2 linked regions of the Cricetulus griseus genome follow. The protein of the gene in region 1 interacts with the protein of each later gene in a pairwise test. Links are inferred from orthologs where the notes say so. Each region holds a gene or a part of one and is shown in the gene's direction. Other genes may lie near its edges. The genes, in order: Swsap1 and Zswim7.

Region 1 (3,547 bases):
GAAGCTCTGGGGCCAGCCAGACTGATCTACACAGCAGTGAACATGCACTGCCTCCAATGAGATGGAAGACAAGGACTGACCTCCACACACCTGGGGTGGCACAGTCCTGCCTGCACACACATAAAGATTTTTTAAAATTAAAACAGAAATCAGGGTCAGTGAGATGCCTGAGGGTTCTTGCCACCAATCCTGAAGATCTTTCATCCTGGGAACCCACACAGTAGGAGAGAAAGAACCGCATCCCATCTCTGAACACATGCACACCGTGTCATGGGAGTACATACACATACACCAACATCCCTCATTGAGGGCTAGGGATGAGGCAGTGTGGTGAGTGCTTGCTTAACACGTACAAACCCTGGGTTTGATCCCCAGCCCTGCATTAACTTGGCATGGTAGCATAAGACATCTTCAGAGTTCCAGGAAATGTAAAATGATTGGCACCCTATCAAAAGAAAAAATCTGAGTCCCAAATCTGTAGCCCATATAAACATATTCCCATATCCAAGCAAGGAGAGACAAGCGAACAGCTGTCCCTTTCCATCTGTGAACTGTCCTTCGGCGATATTAGCGGATATTCACACCAACACACTGCAATGACCCCAAGGGATCACAACACTCGTTTTGCTGGTGGGCAAGCTGAGGTTAGGAGTCTGGTTTTTATTATTTATTTTAAGACAGGAGCTCATGTAGCCCAGGCTGGCCGAAAACTTCAATATGTAGCTAAGGGTGACCTACAGTTTTTTGTTTGCTTGTTTGTTTGTTAAGATTTATTTTTACGCAGGGTGTGTGTGTGTGTGTGTGTGTGTGTGTGTGTGTGTGTGTGTGTGTGTGTGTGTACGCGCACGCGGGTATGTATGTGTGTCTCGTGCCCGCGGAGGCCAGAAGAAGGCGTCGGATCTCTAGGAACTGGCGTTAAGGACGCTTGCAAATCACCCTGTAGGAAGTGGGAACCGAACCCAGGTCTTTTGGAAGAGCAGCTGGTGCCCTTCACGGCTAGGCGTCTCTGGGGAGCGCGTTTGCACCCTCGACCTTTCTTTTAATCTGATCACGCGGCTTCCGGCAGCAGATTCCCTCACGCACCACTTTGCTCCATGTCCCGTGTTTTGACCATTTACGACAGCTCCAGAGACCGAAAGTGACGCTGCGAACTATAGCCAATGAAACATCGGTGTGGGCGGGCCCGGGAGGAGGACGCATCCCTGATTGGTCAGCGGTACTCGGCAAATGGCGGAGGCGCTGAGGCGGGTGCTGAATGAAGGCCGCGCGGCAGGGCCCGGGGAGGAGGGAGCTCCGGGTCCGCCATTGCTGCTGCTAGGCGCTCCGCGCTCCGCGCAGACTTCGCTGCTGTTTGCGGCCGCCCTCGAGGCGGCAGGGGAAGGCCGCGGGCCTGTCCTCTTCATGACACGAAGGCCGCTTCAGAGCCTGCCGCTCAATACACCCGCAGCGCGGAACCCCTGGCGGCTCCAGGTAACCGGAGGGCCGGATCTGGAACGTGTCGCCCAATGGCAAGAGAGGTGGTGCATGAGTGACAGGTCGGCAGGCCAATGGCGCGTCAGAAGGCCTACGGGGACGAAGTGGGTGGAGGAGGCGGGTAGCCGCACGGGGCGGGGCAGTGCGGGTTTAGTTAAGAGTGAATGAAAGGCCGTCCTATGATCGCTCGGCATTAGCGGGCGTGGGCGCCAAGGAGGTGGAGTCTAAAGTGGAGTTAGTTTCCCTTGGAAGCACGCGTTCTCTCTCCCAACAACAATAAAATAGAGCTCTCAGCTAGCATGCATGAAGCCCTGGGTTTCGTTCCTCTAACCCGGCATGGCAATGCACGCCTGTGATTCAGTTCTCAAGAGGTGGTTTCAGAAGGGTCAGGCCATCCGGCTACATCACGAGTTTTCAGTCATCCTGGCTTACATGAGACCCTGTGTCAAAGAAAAAAAAAGAATCTTAACTAAAATGATTTTGGGCAGTGATACAAGCTGGAAAAGGACAGGTGACAAAGAAGGACAAAGAATATCTGAGCTGGTGCTTCATCCTCGAAATTTATATATGGGGCTCGACTGGGAAAATATGGAAGAGTCATGGCAGCCATAGTAGGGAGCCTTGGCCTCCTATGTTAAATCTTGCCTTTTCCTGTCTTCTAGAAGGTTCGATTCCAGTACCCATCCTCAGTTCCAGAGCTTCTCCAGCTTCTGGCCTCTGCCCATGAGACCCCAGGGCCTGCCCCGTCCCTTCTACTGCTAGATGGCCTGGAAGAATATCTAGCTGAAGACTCAGGGGTCCAGGAAGCCGCCTACTTAGCTGCATTGCTTCTGGATACTGCTGCCTACTTTAGCCACCGTCTTGGAGCCAATGGCAGCTGTGGGCTTGTGGTGGCCCTAGAGACCCAAAAAGAAGAAGACAATGATGCCCCACATCTGACATTGCTTCAACGGTATTTTCCTGCACTGTGCTGGCTGCAGCCAGATGCCCTAGACTTGGGACAGCACCATTGCCTGCGGGCCAGCCTGGAGTTGGGCAAGCTGAGCCCCAGGACGGAGTGGTCAGTGACCTTCTTACCTAGTGGAGAGATGAAGATCATCCCATGGCCTACCCAGGCTTCTAAGCCCAGCCCAGATAAAAAGTGTTCAAGTGCTGAAAGCCAGTCATTAACTCTGGAATGTGGCAACCTCTCTGACCCTCAGTTTCCCTTGGATAGAATACTTCCTTCAGGGACAGGTTCGGAATCAAAGACCTGGAAAATGTAGCATTGCTGAGCTGGGCTTGCAAGATGGCTCAGTAGATAAGGGGCCTTTCCAATAAGCATGATTACCTGGCTTTGATTCCCAGCATCCATAAGGTAGAAAGCTAGAACTGACTCCTGCAAGTTGTCTTCCGGCCTCCACATTTGGGTAGAAGCACACACATGCCCTCCACACAAATAGTAATAATAATAAATAGAACCTTTAAAATAAATAAATAAATATAATCATCTGAGGTTTCCTAGTTCATTTCTTCTTACTTATTGTGTTCTTTTCCCACAGGATCACGTGTAGCTCAGGCTAGCCTCAGACCAAATACTTAGCTGAGGCTATTCTTGAACTCCTGACCCTCCAGGCTCATCCCTTGTGGGCAGGGCATATGGAGTGTGCTTCCACACTTGGCTTCTTCTGTGTACTCTATGGTGCCTGCATATGAGTTACCTCTGTGTCTTGGCTTACATTACTGTTAGGGAGTCTAATCACATACACATACATGACCTTGCACATGTGTTTAGGGTATACGGTTGGAAGTAGAATCACTCTGTACAGAGTATGCACAGATTTAGCTTTTTTAGGACATAACATTTTTCAAGCCATTAAACTGAGTTTGAGCGTGGTGTTTTGCAAAATGGTAAGCCCAGCTTTGGGATGTAGAGATAGGAAGTCACAATGCAAGGTTATCCTTGGCTACTTAAGGTGTTGGAAGCCACTCTGTCCTACACTAGACCCTGTCAGAAAAAAAAAAAAAAAGGGCTAGGCCTTTAATCCTAGCACAGGGCCAGCCTGATCTATACGGAATGTTCCAGGCCAACCAG
Region 2 (3,918 bases), on another chromosome or scaffold:
CCTTTGTGTTCGTTTTGACTGTCACCAAGAGTGTTTGTTGTACTAGGCCTTTCACCAACACCCACATGTCTGTGTCCTTCTTCCATCCTGCTGGATGAGTAGGCAGATCTGAACTTGCCTCCTTTCCTGGGACCTCCATCCTGAGCAGCTGAGTCATCCCTTTCACAAGACTCCACTTTATTTATTCTCCCCACCCAAATGCTTCTTTCACCCCTTTCTGCTCTCTTCATCCGAGAGCTGCCTGTTCCTGCCTCCCCATGCACTCTTTACCCATTTTCACTCTGTGGGAATGTAACAGTAGCTTTAGAAATGTCTTCAAATGCTAATACCACAGATGAAGGGCCCCACAGTAAAATGCACACAAGTTTTTCTCTTCACTTCTTGTTACCCCCTACAGGCTAAGACCTGTGTATCACATGGGAACAAGAGGCTGTGTGGAAGGCTGGGTTAGATTAAAACTCTTCCACTGTTGAAAGTCCTAGAAAGCTGCAGAGATAAAGTTTGTACACTGAAGGAAGAAAACTTGCGTTTCCTCTTTTGTATCAACTCCACTGCAGTTCTTCACAATGATGTCTGTCCATCAGCAACTCTTATGTGTTGAGCAAACCTTCTGAGTTTCTAACAATGTCCATCCTTCTCCCAGGTGCTTGGGAGTTCTGGCAAAACATACACATGTATGACTTCCTGTCATTACTGCTCATGCCCAGCATTTGCCTTCTCAGTGTTACGGAAGAGTGACAGTCTGCTGGTAAGAATGGGCTCTTGCCACTGCACACAAGTTGGGAAAGAGCTAGACTCATATCAGACTTTAAGTGCCACATACATTTTTGGGGTGGGGGAGGGTTTACATAGAATTGTTATTTCCCTGAATGTTGAAGACATTGTGGTTCACTGTCCTTGTCTTAGTCACCTCTTGGGATTTAATCTCCAAAAATGCAATGTCATTTTTGGTACTTCACCAGTTTCCTGGTTTTTTGGGGGGTTTTGTTCTGTTTTATTTAAAAGGTTGTAGAGGAGGTTGTGGGGACAGTAATGTAATCTTGGAAATGTGTACTGGGGAAGTAGATGGCCCAGTAAAGAGAGAACTACATAAAAGATGCTCACTCATCATCCCACTGCTTGTGGCTTGACCTCACATTCACCCTCATATGGACCAGGAACACCTCCATCTATACCTCTAAGTCTTTGTGAGCCTATCAGAGTAAGGACAGCACATGTCTGCACACTGCTTGCTCCAAAGGGAAAGAAACGTCTACCCTCCTCTCCTCAGAGAAGGTGATTAGTTCTTAGTCTTGTCAGAGAAGAATAAAGTCCACCTCATTCCTTTCCTTTATTTTTTAAAGATATTTTATAATGATTATTTTAATTTTGTTTGCATTGGTGTTTTGCCTGCATGTATGTCTGTGTCAGATCTTGGACAGTTGTGAGCTGTTATGTGGGTGTTCCGAATTGAACCCGGGTCCTCTGGAAGAGCAGTCAGTACTTTTAACCACTGAGCCATCTCTCAAGCTCCTCTCCCCCTTTTTGTATACTATTAGCAGTTTAAACATCTTCAGAGTTTGGTGCCAAATTGAGTATCTCTGTTAATTCATATACACACCCTACTAGCCATTAGTGTGGTATATTTCACTTATAAAAGTGACAGGATTGAACCATGGTCCTCTCAGGATTCAATGTTGTGTTCTGTGACATTGGTCTAACAGAGTCATCTCCCCACATTTGTGTATATGTGAGAATTTTCCCGATGCTCTTTTCCCACCCCAGAAGATAGCAATGGTTAAAGTGGAGTAGAGGCTCTGCATGCTCATTATAATGAAGTTTGAACCTGCTGGATAGCTATTAGATTTGCATGAGCTCATTTGTGAGGAACACAGAGCAGTATAGTGCCTCAAGGACTGTCAACCATTGCTGTAACCACACTCTGAAGGCGAGGATAGAACCAACTGAAAGCAGGGCAAAGTTTCGATCTCCTCCTTGCATGTGATAGTGAGGGGTCTTGATTAGACTGGCCAAACATGATCTTTCTTGTTCCTAACAGGTTTGTGTTTTGTATTCCAGTGTAAGCATCTCCTGGCAATTTATCTTAGTCAGGTTATGAGAAACTGCCAGCAGCTCAGTGTGTCAGACAAGCAACTGACAGACCTATTATTGATGGAGAAGACACAAGAAGCATAAAAGGTGCAGGTGGAACAGCTTTCAAGACAGAAGCCTACCAGGAAATATGTTCAACATCTCATGGTTCACAGGATGGAGGGACAAGATACACTTCCGGACTTGTTACTGTCACTTTGCCTTCATAGGCTGCAGGGTGGGCTTTGGATTGGCACTGTAGGCTGCAGAGAGTTGTGTGGTTAAGAGCCCCACATGATCTTAACATGAACCAGCCTCTGAGCCCCACAGATAGAAACATCCCTGGGTACAATTCAATATTGTTGACTCAAATAAAGCCCAATACCATGTGTCTGCAACTAGATCAGGTTACTAAAGTACTAGTAACTTTGTAAAGGTGGGATGGTAGACCAAACTGAGTAAGAGCAAGCTTAAATGAGAAAATTATTCCTTAGTAAAGGACTAGAGCAGACATGTAGCTAAATGGCAACAAGTATGAGAAGATGAGGGGCCTTCTGCTAAGCTCATCTGTGTGCTGGTGTCAGGGCAGCTGATGGGGATGCACTGAGAGAAATGATGTGGAAAAAAGGGAGAGCTGGGTCTGCTGTGAGCATTTCTAGGCTTTTATAGCAGGATAAAGATACACTAAAGCCCTGGAAGGGAACTAGATCCTACGAGGAATTTCACATGAAAAAGAAAAGACAAACTAGGTGCCAGGAGTGGTGTGGGAAAGAAGAGACAAGATAGACCCAGAGAGAGCAAAGGAACAACGAGAAAATAACTATGAAAAGATGAGATAGACCCAGAGAACAAAGGAGCAATGAGAAAATAACTGTGAAGAGGAACCAGCCTAGGAAAAGGACGCAAGAGGTAAAGTTATGACAGCCAGAAGACCCTAGAAGGTCGGGAATTCCCTGAGTCTCTAAGCACTCATACTTTTAGGAACTCAAGAAGTAGATGAAATAGGTGACTTCATAGCCTAGGGACCCCCCTGCCACATTGTTGTGCCCCATACTCAAACTGTTATTGAACAGCCTCTGTATAAAAAGCCAAATACATATTGCAGCTCTCTGGTTGGATGAGCATTATGTTGAGTTGTAGCAAAGAAAAACCAAGATTCCTTTGCTAGTTGAGAGACTTGGACTGGGTATGAGCTTCCTCTTTAAGCAGCCTTCAGGGTTAGGTGCAGGTAGTGCCTTAAGTACAGCAAGCCAGGGCAGTGCCGTGAATGTGCTTTTGACAAAGGTTTATTTCACTGAATAGAATACACAATTAGGTATTTTTGCCTAGTAAAATTTTCACACTGTGGGTTCCAATAAATTTTAACTTTGGAGAGAAGCAAACCCAGTACTTAGGTCTAAGAAGCAGGATTCCAGTCAAGGAGGGACCCCATTTCTTCAGTTTTTACCACTAGTATTTTGTGTACATGGAAAATATTGATCTTAAATTGTTTTTTTTAATTATAATTCTACTTCAAAACTTAGAATATCACTTCCCAAATTAACACAACAGTATCTTGATTGAAGAATTATACTTTAGTTTTTTGGATTGCTGCCCTAGGAACAAGTATACATTAGTATAGCCAACTTTTATTTTTCCATTGTTGTAAGTGAAAAATACTTTTATTGTAATAGTTCACAGTGTTTCACAGTAAGGTAAGTTTCAGTCATTTTCTACCATGAATGAGGCAGATTCTTAAAACTGTCTTTGGGAATCAGTTCCAGCCACTGTCATCCACATAGTAGAACAGCTGAATAGACTCATAAATGTATTCGTTAACCTTGGAGCCTGCCGATTGCATATCATATT

The links.
Region 2: the proteins of Swsap1 (region 1) and Zswim7 interact in binary tests that used the Homo sapiens proteins (3 or more experiments, as listed by UniProt). The link is inferred for Cricetulus griseus from reciprocal best matches to the Homo sapiens genes SWSAP1 and ZSWIM7.

Annotation. Positions count from the first base shown.
Region 1 is NC_048597.1:134,851,634-134,855,180, forward strand, and holds Swsap1 (ATPase SWSAP1), read left to right. Parts: upstream 1-1,201; 5' UTR 1,202-1,227; coding exon 1,228-1,470; intron 1,471-2,135; coding exon 2,136-2,738; 3' UTR 2,739-2,967; downstream 2,968-3,547. UniProt on the Homo sapiens protein: ATPase which is preferentially stimulated by single-stranded DNA and is involved in homologous recombination repair (HRR). Has a DNA-binding activity which is independent of its ATPase activity.
Region 2 is NC_048600.1:76,290,723-76,294,640, reverse strand, and holds the end of Zswim7 (zinc finger SWIM domain-containing protein 7), read left to right. Parts: intron 1-643; coding exon 644-748; intron 749-2,038; coding exon of another isoform or gene 2,039-2,058; coding exon 2,059-2,175; 3' UTR 2,176-3,174; downstream 3,175-3,918. UniProt on the Homo sapiens protein: Involved in early stages of the homologous recombination repair (HRR) pathway of double-stranded DNA breaks arising during DNA replication or induced by DNA-damaging agents. Required for meiotic progression, hence for fertility.